Linked DNA regions of Saccharomyces cerevisiae S288C. Changing the gene in region 2 together with the main gene of any one other region gives a genetic interaction. Each region holds a gene or a part of one and is shown on either strand. Other genes may lie near its edges.

Region 1 (4,019 bases), 410 kb from region 2:
CTTACACATTTAACAACGTTGCATCAGAAGAGGGTCATATGGCCATAGAAGTCTCATTTAAAAAGAAGCTCACGAAGAATACTCTTTTGGAAAGAGACATTGATACCGAAGACGAAACAAACCCATCAGAGGCTTTATTTTTCGTCTTTGATTCATTTGCGCCCGTCAATAATTTCCTACAAGATTATAACGACCTGATTGGGAAAATAGACTTTGGCTTGGCATTTCAATATTTTCCATTATCGGAATATAGGCCTCATGGTTTATTTCCTATTATTGGGCAGTATAATGAGAGGTCTACCTTAACAGTAGATACGCCAAGGTCTAGAGGACAAGTTTCAATGACGATCAATGGCAAACATTACAAAAGCTTCCTTGATATCCTGAGTCTTTGGAATATAAAGGGTGTCAGTTGCGGACATGAACATAATAATGACTGTTGCTTACAGTCAAAAAATGAGATGTGGTTATGTTACGGTGGGTCCGCTGGTATAGGCTTGCCGAGAATCCAAGGTATATATCCAACCGTTAGATTATTTAACTTGGATGATATTTTGGACGAAATAACTTCGTGGAAGAGGAATAGCAATCTTGTTGACGAGGTTTACGATTATCAGTACATCTATAAGGGGAAGCAATAATTTCAATGATTAATTTTGTAAGGTGAACATTGACTGCCAGCAGGATAGATGATAGATAGACATAAACAAAATATACATAACACACGGTGGTGTTTTCTTTTTACACATAATATATTTAATTCTTTTTCTTTTTTTTTTTTTTTGGTTTACAAGTCCACTGAGGGACATTTTGAGTTATCACTTATGGTCTCCTGTAGCATTATTAAAAGAATAAATATCGAAAAGTATACATACTTAATAAAAACTTCAGGCTATTAAATAAACATCAGAACACATTGAGGACAAAGCCATAGAAGTTTGGAGTAGATACGGAATTTTTATTGTATGTATATATTATATATCTAAGCATTTTGCTTTTTTTTACTTCATAATCTTTCAGAAATCATTATATTAAACGGATAGTCATTTGTTTTCAAGGCGTGAAAAAACCTGAGAGGGAAAAGAATAGGACTTTTATAATCTCTTGATGACTGCTTCAGTGAATGATGAAGTAGTAGCAGTACCAGCCAAGTCACCTGTTCTGTTTTCTGGACCTGATGCGATAGTAGACAATACTGCATTTTGAATTTGGTCAGCATGATTCGTTAGACCCATGTGGTTTAACATCATTACTGAAGATAAAAGTAGGGCAGTTGGATTCGCTTTATCTTGACCGGCAATATCAGGGGCAGAGCCATGGACAGCTTCAAAGATCGAGATTTTATGACCAATATTGGCAGATGGAGTTAAACCTAAAGAACCGGCGCTCAAACCAGAGTTCAAGTCGGACAAGATATCACCGTATAGATTTGGACAAACAGAAACAGCGTCTGTGTAAGCAGATGGGTTGGTGACCACCTTTAACACACTGTTATCAATAAGTTCAGTTTCTAAAGTAAGGTCAGGATACTCTTTGGATAGTTCTTTGGCAACATTAACGAATAAACCATCAGCTAATCTCTGGATAGTAGATTTATGTACCACAATAACTCTTGGTCTGCCGATGGCTCTTGCATATTCAAAAGCGTATCTAATGACTCGCTCAGAGGCATCTCTTGTGATCAGTTTAATAGATTGAACAACGCCAGGGCAAACTATGTGTTCGATACCAGAATATTCACCTTCGGTATTCTCTCTGATAAGAACTAAATCAACGTTTTCGTAAGTGGTCTTAAAACCTTCAATAGACTTTGCGGGACGAACGTTGGCAAATAACCCAAATGTTTTTCTCAATGTCAAATTCAAAGATCTGTGACCTTTACCAATAGGTGTAGCTAGTGGACCTTTTAGTGCAACCAGGTTTTTTGTGATAGATTGTACGGCAGGGTCAGGAATGGTCGTTAATCCGTTGACAAAGATAGGGCTAACATCACAAGATTCCCATTCTATGGGGACGTTTGCTGCACTAAAGATTTTCTTTACAGACTTGGAAATTTCAGGTCCGATACCATCACCTTCAATGAACGAGACCGTGTATTTGCCGGTAGAAGGGTTAGGTTTGCCGGTATATCTTCCGATTGAAGGTTGCTTTACAGTAGCCAAAAACCTCCTCGAGGTGTTTCTAAAAAAAGTATTTCTCAACATTATTAAAAAATATTATAATTGTTGTTCGTTCCCGATCTGTATCTTATTATCTACCAAGGTAATTCAGGTTCAGAAAAAGTGTATCCAATAATGTCATGCACTTGGAATATATATTTATATAAATATGAATAATAAATGAAAAAGAAATAAGAAAAGAGGAAAACTTTAGAAGGAGGGTTTTTCTGATATGACTATGATGAGAAACTAAAACCTTAGGGCCTATAATAAGGGACCTATGAGCTTTTCAATAACTTATATATTCTTTAACCAAACAATGGAAGTTACAGAAAATAGGAACTGACCAACCAGAGCGGCCCGTGTCATGCCCCCCCTTGCCGAGATGCGGACCGAGATTGCTGAAAGAAGCGCCGAGTATCGCAAAAGGCCCCTGGCGGGGCAACGACAATTTCTTCGCCGAACCTCGGAATCGACTAGCAGATCACAGTGCTTAGGAAGCTAAGGCTGCGTTCTAGAAGGGCTAGTGAGTCTTCTCAACCATGACTGTCGTTGTTTGTGTTTGGTTTTATGTTCACCTCTAGGAACTCTTTCTGTAGGGTCTTTGATGCCAGTATTGCTGCTGTTTCCAACGTTCCCAAGTAATTTACTAAGTCTGGGAGAAAGGGACTCTGCACTCAATGTTCTACCTTTAAAGGATCTCGGTACAGAAAGCCCATTGTTATCAAAATCTATTGGGCTAGGAAACAGTGCATGATGATGATGATGATGATGATGTATGGTAAAATTGTTGGAGTCAGAAAGTGCACGTGACCTTGGAAGCATATGGTCATCTATTGAAGGGTGCACAAAATCTTCTTCATCGGAGTCAATAGCCATTTCAGGAACGGTAATGTTGTTAAACTTTGCTACTGTTCCTGCATGCGGCATGGTGTCCTTATTCGCTTTTTCCGTATTCGGTATTATATCTGAAGCGTGTAGTATGAGGAATTCGATGACAGTTCTGGAAGCCTCATACTCTTTCGGGCACATTTCATCCTTGGGATGAGACAAAAGTGAGGGTTGTACGATGGCCGCTAAATTGCTTGCTGACATTAAATTCTTCTTTTCATTTCTTGCAAATAAATTCAAGAGCGCGGCTAAATAAAGTATTAAATGGCGATTTTGTTGTGGTAAGAGCATATAAATATCTTCGTAGTCCTTAATGATTTGTTCTTTGTGCTCATTTATTTTTGGGTTTTCTAATATTGGATTTCTAAAAATGTCGTATAATGCTAGGGGAACCAAAGGCTCACTTAATGAGTTCAAATATCTTTTTAATAAAGTTGCAATGTCATGAACATTGAAATCACACCATCCTTCAAATTTACGACCATAATCGGGCGGTTTAGAGAAAACAGCTTGTAGCTCTCTAACACGTTTATTGCTTCCCGCAATACGGAAAATTCCTGTTGTGTCTAATGCATTCTCTTTTAGGTATTTCCCACTTTTTGCTATTACCACCGGTATGGAACCAATTTCATTTGTACTTTTTTGGATAATTACTTCCTCTTGAGCAACTTTCAGTGATTCCTCGAGTGAGACGCCAAATACTTTACCATCAAATTCGTTTTGCAAATTAGTAAAGGTGTCCCTATCCTTCTTGCCCTCAACAGAAGACATTGAAGATGACCTATTCTGTGGAGAACCCTCTTCAGAAGAAGGTGTAGAAAGTAGATTCATGTTAAACATTCTATTTTATGTTGTGTAATAAGATATGTCCAGAAATATACTATGGTTATTTATGTACTCTTTCCTGTGTACGCGTTTCGATTATTTTGCAGGTTATATTATATACTGCTATCACATGCTAAAACAAGA
Region 2 (5,785 bases):
CTCCTTTGGAAAGCAATTGAACCAGAAGTTGTGTAGTTGTCATGACACATCGCTTCTACAAACTCAATATTATGAACCCAAGTTTTATCAGCATCATCAATATTCCTCTCATGAAAATTGATTGCAGAAAGATACTCTGTGTAAGCAATCTTTAAAGTCTTTTCAATTTTTTGTTGACTAGAGTATAATGAAACAAATAGGGCCCTACCAACAGTCCCCATAATCAGCGGAAAGGTGAGTTTTTCAGAATCACTTATGTATTCCATGTGGTGTGAGGCCTCCGCGATCCCTGCTAAATGTGATCTAACCTTCATAAACTTGACAGTTATATCCAAGAGAATTTGACGCTTTTCATTATTAATTTTCAAATCGAAAAGGCCCATTGCAAATAATGTTACAGTGTAACTGCAAAGAAGATGATACCCTTCAATACTGATATTCTCATCTGATTCACCATAAGTAATAACATTCGATAATAAGGTATCCATGAATGATTGAGCAGTATTCTGTAAATCTACATCCGGACTTACGATGGCGACGAAAATCGGTTTCATAATATTTCTAAAATCCTGCGAAACCCATTGTAAATTCGAGTTTATATTGTGAGGAATGATGAAGTAACTATTCGGTCTCTTAAAAATACTGAAAATATTAATCATTATTCTTCTAGCATCTTGAAGAGTTGCTTCATTCAAATCTTTTGGTATCAAATGTTCTTGAATGTAATTATTTGTTGATTTCATGAATTTTCCTAAACTTTCATCGGAATAACGCCTCGTTCTTATTTTCTGCAAAGGCGATCGAATTCCGAATGCTGCCGACGATAATGGAGTAGAATTTGTTATGGCCATTGGTGTGGCACTGATGCTTTCCGTTTGCGGACGTTGTACTGGTGAAGATTTTTCCGTTCCTGGAGGTGAAGTCAATGTAGTCGGTATTTTATTCCTTATAATACTAGATGGCCCACCTAAAGCATGACGCGCTCTTGGGGCCACAAGATGTGACAAGTATGGATCAGAAGACAAGTTCTTTGGTGAACTGTTTAATGAATTAACGTTGTCAGAATTTCTTGAAGTACTTGAACCAACTAAAGACAGGGTGTTCATTGGACATATATCAGTATCCAGTCCCAGCGGAGAAACTGGTGTCATTGAACTTTGAGATGTAGATCCTGATCTTGACCGGGTTGTCGAACATAAAGAGGGTGAGCTCCCCTTGAAATGTTTCTTCGTACCATACTCATTGATAATTGTACCGTCAAGAATGGAAGCAACTATGTCGGTGATTTGCTCATCAAAATACGGAAATTCTTGTAAAAGAATATCTGCTATAATGGAGAATAATGTTTTGAAAAATTTAGAAATTTTAACCGCAATTGCCTTCCGCAATTCCTTCTTACTTGGTATGTCGAAGAATATCCTGAATCCTTCAGTATAAAGGCATAGCTTCTGCATGTTTAAATTGTTGGCCATTGTATCGATGCTCAGACGTGCCAGTAATAATTCATGATCGAATTGAATAGCTGAAGAGAAGAATATTAATTGTAATTGAACAAACGTGGTGGAGTTTTTTTTCAAACAAACCATCAAACTGTTATTTATTTTTGAATTCCAGTCTTGACCGACGCTTAAATTTGTCCCCATTATGGGGATGAGTCTCTTGGCAAAAAGTACTGAGGGTAAGTTTCTATCCACGAGAAAGACCGCAGAAGTCATTGTAAAGAATGATAGTAAGGCCCTCATTGTATCTAAGAGGGCAACATCTGATACAGCTTGATTCCCATTTAAATTTCTTAGCAACATCTTCACAAATTTTACAGTTTTTTTGGTTGAGGAAGGTAAAGAAGTTAATTTCTTTAAGCCTTGTGTAATATGTTTTATACCCGAAGTCTTTTCGGAACCTGTCTCGTGTGCAGTATTATTGAAAGAACTTGTTCTTTCTTTTGGACGATGCATAGTACAATCAGGAATATATTTGAATGATGTAGCGTTTAATTCATTAAAAAGGTCAATATCGAACATTGTCAAAGTAGTTAAAAACTTCAGTACGGATGTGTGTGGTAGTACCTCAGTATCATCAAAGTGCGTGTATAACTCCAAAACATTATCCAAACGAGTGACAGACAAAAAATGTTCGTCATAATCCTTACCAGTATGGCCAGTTTTGTGTGCATCGTATGAAGCGCGACTTTGTTGCTCTGCTGTGTATCCAGTTGGGGTGGAATTCGATGGTGAAGCAGCTGCGGCGGCGGCTGCAGCTGCTGAGTTCAACCGCTGTTGCAATTGTGTTGTTGGAGTTGGAGTTTGAGATAATAATGAAGATGCACTAATAGTGATGTTAGACATCGTGGGAGTATCTGGTAAGGAAGGGTCATATTCTCCTGGTTGAGTGTGAGTAGAGAAATCAGTTGTTGTTGAATTAGACGTTGAAGATGACAGTGAAGTAGAGGATTGAGAGTTTGTAGTCCATGAAGAATGTAGTTTTCTTTCAGACTGCTGTTGAATGTATGACTGGTGGTGAGAAAGCTGACGACTTAAGGATTTTGCTATTATGTTTTGATTGTTGTTATCCGATGATGATGAGCTAGGTGGTGACGATGGCGAGGAGGACGAAGGGGAAGATGAGCCTTGATGAGCATTTTGATTGGTGGTTATCATGCTATTCACATTAAAAGTCGAATGGATCTCCTCGAAAAGTGTATGGTTTAACGTGTTTAAGGATTTCGAGTGTTCATTGTTATTATCTTTTAATAAGTTGAAGAGTTCATAATATTCCGCAGGCCTAGCCATTATCCAAAACATTATTGCTTTGGCGCTGTAATGCAAAAGTAGGCAATGATAAATCGTTTTCCTTAACGTCACCGATAAGTTTTTGATGAGTTCCAAGTATTTCTTAAAATTATGCTTGCTTAAATAGATGAAGCTGAAAAGATCAAAGTGGGGCACTATGCTGTTATAAACGGAAGATGGCAAAGAGTGTGAATGGGAGTGTGAATGCGTGTGTGTCTGTGTTACGGGCACTTGCACACTCTTTCTGATAAATTCAAAATACTCGGACGGATTGGAAGCCGCTACAAATCGGAGAATATGGCCTAGAGTAGAGTCAATCATTTTACAATGAGAAGGATGGTTGTGCCTTGTCAGATAGGATTTGTGGCGGGGAAGAATCGAGGAACTCAAAGTCGTTAGAATGTTTCCATGAACATGACTGATCATATTTTGTAAAATTTGCAAAGTTCTTGTATTGAACTTCAACTTCGCGCAACTCTCAAGCAATTTCGATGCCAGTTCCGGTATCAGTGCCTGAGGTTTGCTCTGGTGGAAAAAGTGTTTGTTGCCATTGGAATGAGTCGACGAGTAGTCGGGCAGAATACTGTTAAGCTTTGGTCTGTACTTCTGTTCTTGGTCATGTTCTACGTGAGTCGAAATGTCGTTGTAATGAAGGCTTTCTTGATTTTGCCAATTATACTCTAGCGCATCACTTAACAATCTTAGTATAATCAGTATTGATTCAATAACGTCACTGCTACCCTTATCTGAAATGATTTCGTGCCCTTGAAGAAGCGATTCTATCAACTCCAAGGTGCCTTCCACCATAGCATTTGCATCTCGGGAAACGGTAACGTTAATGAGCACAGATCTGCATGAAATGAATGAGGAATACTCTTCCACTTCCGAATAGGTACTTAGATTAGACTCCACCGGAAGGATCGGGAGAATTCTTTCAAAAAGAATATGATTAACCAACGTCCGAGTCATGCGGGATGACTTGGAATCGGTCCCGTGTTCTTTCTTCTTATTCTTAGTGGGCTGGGACATGCTTCTCCCTGAAGAAAGATAATGTATACAGTTTAGTTGATATCAAAAAATGGTGTAACGTTGGGGGAAAAGTAACACTAAAGGAGAAAAGCAAAACGAATAACAGAGGACAATGCTATATGCTAGTGTGCTAAAATGTGGTTAAATGTTTGCTACAATTGGTGAAAAAGTACTTAAGCCTTGTTCTGATTTTGTTTTCGCTTTTTCGGTCTTTTGTTTCCCAGGAGCTCTAGACAATGAAGTAAGCGGAGAGAATGTAGGGCAATAGGATGTGCTTAACTCCCCGGTTATATGTAGAATAGATAATCGTTGGGCAAAACTTTTCACAAGAAGACACAGCAAAGCTTGGGGTTTTCAAAAAGGCGTGCGAGCTTTATTGTGATGGAAATTTTCGTTTCATCAAGGGAGCGTTCTAGAAGAAACGAGAGCTCTACGAACATTTCTGCGCCGCGGATTGATTCACCGATCGGGTGACCCTTTTTGAGGAGCTACTTTGGGTTGGAATCACACTAAAATGTGTAAGGCGGTCAGTATAGCAAAGAACTTGGGGTGGGACGCTGGTGCCGTGCAAGAAAGGCTACGTGAACCTCGTACTAGTCCAAGATATTGGCTCGATGCATTAATGGCAGACTCTTATCTCGCTAAGATGTTTGAAGGCACATCGGTTCTAGAGGTCCAAGTCCCAACCCAAGTCAAGGCCAAGCAAGGCAAGGGGATTTAGAATAGTTCTATCATTCTGCGGGGAATGAGCGGAAGAGTAAGAGTATTGGTTCTGTTGTGGATGACACTTACAAGGGTAACTACTGTTTTTCTTGTTTTCTTATTTTCTTGTTTCCCTGCTTTTCTCTGGGATCTGTGCGGAAGGCGTCATGTCCCTGCTCGTCCCTGATTGTCCGTACTTTTCTGGTTAGCCGTATATCGTTTGAAAGTAGATGGCATGTATGAAGAGCATGATGCTAGGTGATAAGTAATGAGAGGCCTTAGGAAGTAAAGAGTTTCGAAAAGGGTTATTTTATATTTATTGTATTTATTATATTTAATATATTTATGTGTATGTGAAAAGGTACTCATTGCTGTATAAAAATAGAGTTTGACCTAGAGTTCTTCCCAAGTCAGGGCTTTTTCATTGTCGTCACCGTCATAAGAGAGTGAAATGGATGTACTGATGATACTAGAGTCATCCAGTTCTGGTAACGTATCGATTTGAAAGGAGTAAAATGGCTCTTGGGATGCCTGTAAACTTTCTGCAGATAATCTTGAAGGTGGCCTTAAGTTAATCATTGGAGAAGAGCCATACTTGCCCAAGAAGATCACTTCTCCATACTGATTTTCAATCTCGATAGTGGAGCCGGCCTCTAAATCAAGTGCGTATGGAAAGTATCGGTATTCCTTGTACTCCTTTATTCCTATTTCATGAGGACCCATGTCAATAATTTGCGTGGTTGGCTTATCGCCAGCGTCAGTAAACTTCAGTTTGCAGTTGCCTGCCAAAACAGAGTTTGTGTTGTTAAACAACTGGAAATACAATGAATTGTCCCTTTGGTTCATTGTGATTTGCAATGAGCGCTCATTTGGGGGTTCCACTTCTATTTTAGTTTCCTTTTTCGAATGGTCAGAGGCGATTTCCGTCTTACTGTCACATTCTTGTGATAACCTCTCATAGTCATGGTAACGTTGAAAAACGTCCTCAAGTTGTTTGACTGTTTTCAACTCTGTGAAAAAGTTCACTAGTTCGGACCTATCTTCTGGTATGTCAATCGTACCGCTTATTCTGTGGTTAGGTTCTTTATTTGTGACCTTTTGCTCCAATTCCAACTTATTTAACGATTCTTCCAACTTAAGGAGTTGTTTCATGAAGTTATCCAAGCATTCTCTTGACACAACCACATTAGAGGTGGAATTAGGGCTTATCTCTTCTTCGGAACCAGCCTTTGGAGATACGGGATCTTCGTGTGCGTCTTCTCTAC
Region 3 (4,363 bases), on a different chromosome or scaffold from region 2:
GTACATCGTATTGTCCCTGATCCATACCCATAGAGCATGTTGTTTCTTTGGATCAAGTTTTTCTGTAGTAGCATTGCAGCGGTATTGTCAGGGTCCACCTTAGGCATTTGCCTAGAGAAATCAAAAGAAGAAAGTGATGAACCAAAAAGCCTTACTGTTCGAAGAAGGATGTTATTATATGATCTCTGATGGCGAAATGGCAGTACTCGGGGGAATGCTCTCATGTGTACCTTTTGATTGGAATTGGTTCGCAGTGTTTATGTTATATTAGCTCAATGTGCTCCCTGTATTTTATATATGAAACAAGTCTTTGTATTGCTATTTTTTTCAAACCTTTTTCTCAACTCTAAAAGCGGTCCACGTTAGTTTTCTTTGGATATAGCAGTTGTTGTACACTAGCTTAAGATGTAAAATTCAATTCAATATGATTTTGTGTGGGATGTTTTAAAGAAGGCACAAGCCTGTTCTCTCTTTTTCTCTTTTTTCATGGATTGTATCGCTTAAAAGGGAGAAATGAAGTAAACGATTCTTTTTGTAAAAATATAAAACCAAATTTTTTAATTTATATGTATACATATTTATTTATGACGTAAGACCAAGTAAGTTTATATGAAAGTATTTTGTGTATATGACGGAAAGAAATGCAGGTTGGTACATTACAACTTAATTCTGACAGCTTTTACTTCAGTGTATGCATGGTAGACTTCTTCACCCATTTCTCTACCGTAACCAGATTGCTTAACACCACCGAATGGAACTCTGGAGTCAAAATCGTTGTATGTGTTGATCCAGACGGTACCGGCCTTCAACATCTTGGCCACCTTCAAACCTGTGCTCAAAGATTCTGTTTCGATACCAGAACCTAGACCGAATTCAGAGCTGTTAGCCATTTCGACACCTTCTTCTAAAGTCTTGAACTTTGCGACAGTGACAACTGGTCCAAAAATTTCTTCCTTAACAATTCTCATGTCTTCATTAACATCGTAGAAAACGGTTGGTCTGATGAAGTAACCCTTGTCACCAACTTTTTCGCCACCAGTTAAGATCTTGGCGCCTTCTTTCTTACCGATATCGATGTAGTTCATAATTGTGTCGAATTGTTGACGGTTAGTGATAGCACCTTGGAAGTTAGCCTTGTCAAATGGATTACCAACTTTGATTTCGGTTTCCAAGTAAGCCTTGAAAGCAGCCAATAGTTCGTCGTAAATACCTTCTTGAACGTAAATTCTAGAACCAGAGGAACAAATTTGACCAGCGTTCTTGAAAATACCGTTTACTAGATTTGGTAAAGTCTTCTTAATGTTAGCATCGTCAAAGACCAAATGGGCGGACTTACCACCTAGTTCCAAAGTGATTTTCTTCAAGTTAGATTCAGAAGAGTCGACAGCAACACTCTTACCGACTTCTGTAGAACCGGTAAAAGCCAGCTTTCTGATTCTTGGGTCGTTGGTCAAAGCAGCACCAACAGTTCTACCAGGACCTGGAACGATGTTGACGACACCAGCTGGAATACCAACCTTCTTACATAAAGAAGCAAAGTATAGGGCATTTAAAGGTGTGACAGCAGCGGGTTTCAAGATACAGACGTTACCCATGGCCAATGCTGGGGCGATCTTCCAAGCCAACATCATTATTGGAAAGTTCCATGGAATAATTTGACCACAGACACCGATTGGCTCTAAGGTGGTGAAGTTCATGTAGCCGTCACCGGTGTTGATTGTTCTACCGTTGACTTTGTCGGCATAGGCAGCAGCATCTCTTAGACAGTTGATTGCAATGGTAACATCCCCACGGGCTAAGGCCAAAGTTTTACCATTGTCCAAAGCTTCAATGGAAGAAACCAAGTCAATTTGGCTTTCCAATTCGTCAGCCAACTTACTTAGTAGACGGCCTCTTTCTCTTGGGTCTTGGGTAGCCCATTCAGTGTCGTGGAAAGCACGGTCGGCACATTCGATAGCATATTCAACATCTTCAGTGGTGGCAGAAGAGACCTCACAAACGGTGTTTTCAGTGGAAGGATCTTCGACGGGATAGGTCTTACCGTCTTGAGCTTTCATAAACTTGTTGTTAATGAATAGACCGGTTGGTTGCTCGTATGTCAAACCATTTGGAAGTGTGATCTTGACTGGTTCAGCAGTGTCAAAGTGTAGCTTAGTCATTGTATTCTGATAGTATGTGTTTGTGTATGTTAAAGATGTTTCTTGATGTTTTTTCTTCTATAAAACAAGAGAAGTAAAAGACTGAACACTTCGAATTGAATATTACCAAACTTCTTATTACATTTATATATGATATCAAGAACTTGTTAAACACGCCAGGCTTGACCTCGAACGGTGTTTTGATGTGTTACTCAACCGTTAAATCGCTGTTTGAGCTGACTAACAAGGTTGCTTGTCTTGAATCCCCCTCACCCCGAATTTATTACGAATTTGCCCACATGGTCGGTGCTATATCGCATTCGTTGCACTCACCGTTCCCAAGAGGAGATCAATGTTACATACGTTCCCGATGCCCAAAACGGTAAAGTTAAAGCGATATAGAAGCTGGATGCATATCTTTTTACACGTCCGCGGCGCGCCCACCCTCTTTTTTCTTTCTGGTTCCTTTTCGGTCGTTTTTCTTTTGTCGGCTGCCTTATTCCCGTGGGGATGAGGCGAGCGCCGTTTCGGCTTGGATACGCCATATGCAACAATGACGTCTCGGTGCTGGCCATGCCCCTCATTTATGTCGAAAAACAGGCCACTGCCCCTCTTTTCTGCGGCCCGGGCAAGAGGAGACCTCATCAGCCACGGCGACGTGCTGGTTGCTTCTACAATGGTATCTTCACCTTTTACATAATCCAATTCTATCATGCCCTTACGTGAGGGGCAGTGTCGTATGTGACGGCAGTTCCTGACCTGATAGTGTGTCTATTTGTCTGTTAGCGTCCGCGGAAAGTTGTGAGTACGGTTTTTAGTTTAGTTTCCACCCGGGATTATACTTTTGGCTACCCTGACTGGAAGGCGGCGGCCTTATATTCGAATGAACATGCCAGGCATTGTACGAATTGAAACTTTTTTCGTATGACGTTACGAATAATTCCATTCGGCCTAAATATTCTTTTTTTTTGGATTTTTATGCTAGTGAAGGAATATGAGATATGCAAAGCGCATCAGATCATTAGGTGTGTCTACATCGTTAAAATTTAACATAGAAAAAATAAATAGGCGTGTTTGTACGTAGTATGGTGATGTTAGGAGGTGCAGTGGTAGTAAGTTAGCAATATACATAAGTTTTATTCACATGACAGTAACAAAATGAGGGTGTGGGGAGTGTACAGGTACATTTACATACACACATAGATACGTAGATACATGAGAAGAGGGTTTACATGAAAATTATTTGGATTCAGCAATCTTCTTCTTTTTCTTTTCCTCTTCAAATAAGGCGTCTACCTCCTTCTGCTTCTCCAATTGTATTTTCATTTGTTCTTCTGGCGAAGGCAAGTTACCTTCAACATAGTCTTTCAGCGTAAATGTTTGCCCGCCCATTTGCTCCTGCTGTATTCTAATTTTTTCCTTTTCTTCCTCAATCATCTTCATGAACATTAAATAGTTCTTTTGTCCTTCTTCATGAATCAAATCGAGCGGGAACTTGGTGCTGCCGCCCAGGGAATTTCCGAGACCTAGTGCCGTCATTGCCCAGTTGCCACCAGATTTATGATCTCCGTAAAATTTATCCTTCAATTTTTTCACACGATGATCAAATTCTTCTGCTAGGTTCTTCTTGTCTTCAAAGCTGTTCAAGATTGGTCTAACATCCTTGGTTTGTTGAGTGGCAAGGTACTCCAAAAATGGAATCAATCTTACTAATTTGTCATCAGCTTCACCATTCCATGGCTCCATTGGAATAGCATTTTCAGGTTGCAATTTGTAACTGTTAGGGTCAGTGTCAATAATGATTACTTTACTCAAATCTCTATTCAATTTTGACAGATCCTTAATGTGCACACCGTCTTTGTAAACACAGTGTTCCTTGAACAAATTATAAGATACGAATGCATGGATTGGATCTAATTTTTCAGCGATTTTGTCAGAGTACATCATATAGTTGGATGAAAACAAAACAATTTCGTAATACTGCGATAGGTAACCCAAGAAGTAGTCAGCACCAGGTCTTTTGGCCGTTCTCCAACCATGCTTTTGAGACCACTCAGAATGAACCAAAAAATCTTCCAATGTGATAACAAGAGTTAATGGCCTTTGGTACGGTGGTGGTGGTGGTGGAGGTAGTAAATCAGGGAAAGGTGGCTCTTGGAAGTAGGTGAACATTGAGTTGAACCTGGCCTTGAATCTTTTATACATAAGTGATAAAGTGTAGCCAT
Region 4 (4,119 bases), on a different chromosome or scaffold from region 2:
TCGAACTTTTTATGCTACGGAAATCCATTGATCTTAAGTGAGTTTTCTGGCTCTAGTAACGTATTGAAAGATGCCATTGTGGTTAACCCATGGGATTCGGTGGCCGTGGCTAAATCTATTAACATGGCTTTGAAATTGGACAAGGAAGAAAAGTCCAATTTAGAATCAAAATTATGGAAAGAAGTTCCTACAATTCAAGATTGGACTAATAAGTTTTTGAGTTCATTAAAGGAACAGGCGTCATCTAATGATGATATGGAAAGGAAAATGACTCCAGCACTTAATAGACCTGTTCTTTTAGAAAATTACAAGCAGGCTAAGCGTAGATTGTTCCTTTTTGATTACGATGGTACTTTGACCCCAATTGTCAAAGACCCAGCTGCAGCTATTCCATCGGCAAGACTTTATACAATTCTACAAAAATTATGTGCTGATCCTCATAATCAAATCTGGATTATTTCTGGTCGTGACCAGAAGTTTTTGAACAAGTGGTTAGGCGGTAAACTTCCTCAACTGGGTCTAAGTGCGGAGCATGGATGTTTCATGAAAGATGTTTCTTGCCAAGATTGGGTCAATTTGACCGAAAAAGTTGATATGTCTTGGCAAGTACGCGTCAATGAAGTGATGGAAGAATTTACCACAAGGACCCCAGGTTCATTCATCGAAAGAAAGAAAGTCGCTCTAACTTGGCATTATAGACGTACCGTTCCAGAATTGGGTGAATTCCACGCCAAAGAACTGAAAGAAAAATTGTTATCATTTACTGATGACTTTGATTTAGAGGTCATGGATGGTAAAGCAAACATTGAAGTTCGTCCAAGATTCGTCAACAAAGGTGAAATAGTCAAGAGACTAGTCTGGCATCAACATGGCAAACCACAGGACATGTTGAAGGGAATCAGTGAAAAACTACCTAAGGATGAAATGCCTGATTTTGTATTATGTTTGGGTGATGACTTCACTGACGAAGACATGTTTAGACAGTTGAATACCATTGAAACTTGTTGGAAAGAAAAATATCCTGACCAAAAAAATCAATGGGGCAACTACGGATTCTATCCTGTCACTGTGGGATCTGCATCCAAGAAAACTGTCGCAAAGGCTCATTTAACCGATCCTCAGCAAGTCCTGGAGACTTTAGGTTTACTTGTTGGTGATGTCTCTCTCTTCCAAAGTGCTGGTACGGTCGACCTGGATTCCAGAGGTCATGTCAAGAATAGTGAGAGCAGTTTGAAATCAAAGCTAGCATCTAAAGCTTATGTTATGAAAAGATCGGCTTCTTACACCGGCGCAAAGGTTTGAAACACCCTTTTTAACGAAATGGTTATGACTAGACAGACATCTTACGTCTTACTCCTTCATGCTTTATTTTTTTCTTTGTATTGTATTTGAACAGTCAATATGTGGTGTTGCGACGAAGGCATATATATAATAGTCTCAACCCACCATTTTCGAAGATTTACATACACATTATATTTTTATAAACTTCCAATATGTAATAACTTTATATGATATGTAACTTCTCACTATTATCCTTACTATTAAACGGTTTTTAATAAATATCATTGTTCTTTGTTTTATTAATGAGAAAAAGAAATTTAATACAATGTCCGGCGGGAAGAAAAAAAATCGATGAATTAATTGAAAAAAAGTATCTTTATCATGTGAACTGAGGAGAAGAACGGCATCTCGAAAAGAGCACGTCGAAACAGCGGTAGGTAAAAGAGGGTACTACCAGAGGTCTTTTCTCTTTATACGTTAACCTCTCAGCTTTTTCTTTTGCAATTCAGGACACTTTAACTTGTAGTCACACGCTAGTCCACGTAGCAAAGTAAAACAGCACGAAAAAAGTGATTACAAATTTCAAGGGAGATATGATGGACTTAGATAAGATTATAGCATCACTGAGAGACGGAAAACATATTCCTGAAGAAACCGTTTTTAGGCTATGTTTAAATTCACAGGAACTATTAATGAATGAAGGCAATGTAACACAAGTCGATACACCGGTTACAATATGCGGTGATATACATGGCCAATTACACGATCTACTAACGCTCTTCGAAAAGAGTGGTGGTGTAGAGAAAACAAGGTATATTTTCTTGGGCGATTTTGTGGATAGGGGATTTTACTCATTGGAGAGTTTTTTACTTTTACTATGTTACAAATTAAGATATCCTGATAGGATTACTTTAATTAGAGGCAATCACGAAACCCGGCAAATTACTAAAGTATACGGATTTTACGATGAAGTAGTAAGAAAATATGGTAATAGTAACGTATGGAGGTACTGCTGTGAAGTTTTTGATTATTTATCATTGGGGGCAATAATAAACAATAGCATATTCTGTGTTCATGGTGGATTATCTCCGGATATGACCACGGTTGATGAAATACGAACAATAGACAGGAAACAAGAAGTTCCACATGAAGGTGCTATGTGTGACTTATTATGGAGCGACCCCGAAGACGTTGACACATGGTCATTATCACCAAGAGGTGCTGGATTTCTTTTCGGTAAAAGAGAAGTTGATCAATTCTTAGAGAAAAACAACGTTGAGTTAATTGCTAGAGCTCATCAGTTAGTGATGGAAGGTTACAAAGAAATGTTCGACGGTGGATTAGTGACAGTCTGGTCGGCACCGAATTACTGTTATCGTTGTGGTAATGTAGCAGCTGTATTGAAGATAGACGACGATTTGAATCGTGAATATACAATTTTTGAAGCTGTTCAGGCACAAAATGAAGTCGGAAATGCTATAATTCCAACCAAAAAATCTCAAATGGACTATTTCTTATAAATTTTTAACAGGCACTCTAATTGTCAAGTGCATTTTTCTTTTTTTCTTCATAATGCAATAAAGGAAAAAAAATTGTAATATTACATACTTCTTTTCACATCTTAGCTAATTAACAATATGGCTTTTGAATACTAATATATACCCAGCTACCGTTTCTTCTTTTATTTTTTATTCCTTTTTTTCTTCAGTAGAATATGTTATAGATGCGGAGGTCCCCTAAGTTCTTCACGTGTTCTCTTCTCATCGCGTTTGATATGAAAAATAGAAAAAAATACATAGTAGCATGACTAACTAATAATAAGCTCCGCTATCAAAGATGTCAAGTACATTAAGGAAAGCTTTTAGATAAGGAAAAGAACTTATTAATAATATATAATATGAAAATATGTCGCTTGGTATACCACTTTCCCAATTAATAGTAGAAAGTCCAAAGCCATTAAGTAGCGGCATCACAGGATTAGATGAGATATTAAACCTGGGATTCCAGGCAAGGTCGATCTACGAAATATTTGGGCCTCCGGGCATTGGCAAGACTAATTTTGGCATTCAATTGGTGTGTAATTCGTTAGAAGGCATACAACAATCGGAAATAAACGACGATAAAATTCTATGGATAGAAACATTTCAAGAAATGCCCATAAACATACTAAGAGAACGCTTTCAAAAATTTAAAATCGTGGAAGAAAATGTGAAGCGGGTCCGAATAACGAAATTTGGACAGCTATTATATTTCTTCCAGAATTTGTTCAAATTATCTCAAAGTGTGCGATATAAACTAGTTATAATTGATGGATTTTCTCAATTAGTCTGCGATCATCTGTGTACACTAAGTAAAAGAGGCGGCGGAATGATAGATAAAACTATACACGAGTTAAAATGTCGACATTTGATATTAATTTTTACGGTAATGACCAAATACACACATTCCACGGGTTCGACAATAATAGTTTTAAATGACTGTATGAACACCGCCTTCCAATCAAACGAATTCGAATCCTTGGAAGAATACTACGAAATTTTAGACGACGGATCTAACTTCTTTGTCAACTCTAACAACGAAAGGCGTAAGAACAATGTACATATATTGAAAAGCGCGCTCGTTGCCAATATCGCTATGGGAAGCAAGGATTCCACTTGGGAAGTATTTCTAAGAGACAGGATCGGCCTTTTTAGGGATTGGAATGAACAAGTGGACGAAACCGTTTTCGTGAAAAGCAAAAGAGTGAAGGCGTCATCCTCGCAGAGTAACGAGGGATGTACTACCATCAAAGAAATGAGAATAAACAAACGAAACTTTGAAAACTTGAGAATAGCTATT

Evidence for each region.
Region 1: mutations in IRA2 (region 2) and IDH2 together harm fitness more than expected from each alone (negative genetic interaction), as found in Saccharomyces cerevisiae (3 studies listed by BioGRID).
Region 3: mutations in IRA2 (region 2) and ALD6 together harm fitness more than expected from each alone (negative genetic interaction), as found in Saccharomyces cerevisiae (3 studies listed by BioGRID).
Region 4: mutations in IRA2 (region 2) and PPH3 together harm fitness more than expected from each alone (negative genetic interaction), as found in Saccharomyces cerevisiae (4 studies listed by BioGRID).

The regions. Positions count from the first base shown.
Region 1 is NC_001147.6:578,435-582,453, reverse strand, and holds IDH2 (isocitrate dehydrogenase (NAD(+)) IDH2), read right to left. Parts: upstream 2,205-4,019; coding exon 1,095-2,204; downstream 1-1,094. Other genes in the region: SIA1 (Sia1p), read left to right, coding at 1-641; GTPase-activating protein BAG7, read right to left, coding at 2,661-3,890. UniProt on the Saccharomyces cerevisiae protein: Performs an essential role in the oxidative function of the citric acid cycle. Also binds RNA; specifically to the 5'-untranslated leaders of mitochondrial mRNAs.
Region 2 is NC_001147.6:169,103-174,887, reverse strand, and holds the start of IRA2 (Ras GTPase activating protein IRA2), read right to left. Parts: upstream 3,819-5,785; coding exon 1-3,818. Other genes in the region: ATG19 (Atg19p), read right to left, coding at 4,914-5,785. UniProt on the Saccharomyces cerevisiae protein: Inhibitory regulator of the Ras-cyclic AMP pathway. Stimulates the GTPase activity of Ras proteins.
Region 3 is NC_001148.4:430,384-434,746, reverse strand, and holds ALD6 (aldehyde dehydrogenase (NADP(+)) ALD6), read right to left. Parts: upstream 2,160-4,363; coding exon 657-2,159; downstream 1-656. Other genes in the region: MFM1 (Mfm1p), read right to left, coding at 1-224; YPL062W (uncharacterized protein), read right to left, coding at 2,448-2,852; protein translocase subunit TIM50, read right to left, coding at 3,378-4,363.
Region 4 is NC_001136.10:595,282-599,400, forward strand, and holds PPH3 (phosphoprotein phosphatase PP4 catalytic subunit PPH3), read left to right. Parts: upstream 1-1,874; coding exon 1,875-2,801; downstream 2,802-4,119. Other genes in the region: trehalose-phosphatase TPS2, read left to right, coding at 1-1,302; putative DNA-dependent ATPase RAD55, read left to right, coding at 3,187-4,119. UniProt on the Saccharomyces cerevisiae protein: Forms the histone H2A phosphatase complex in association with the regulatory subunits PSY2 and PSY4, which dephosphorylates H2AS128ph (gamma-H2A) that has been displaced from sites of DNA lesions in the double-stranded DNA break repair process.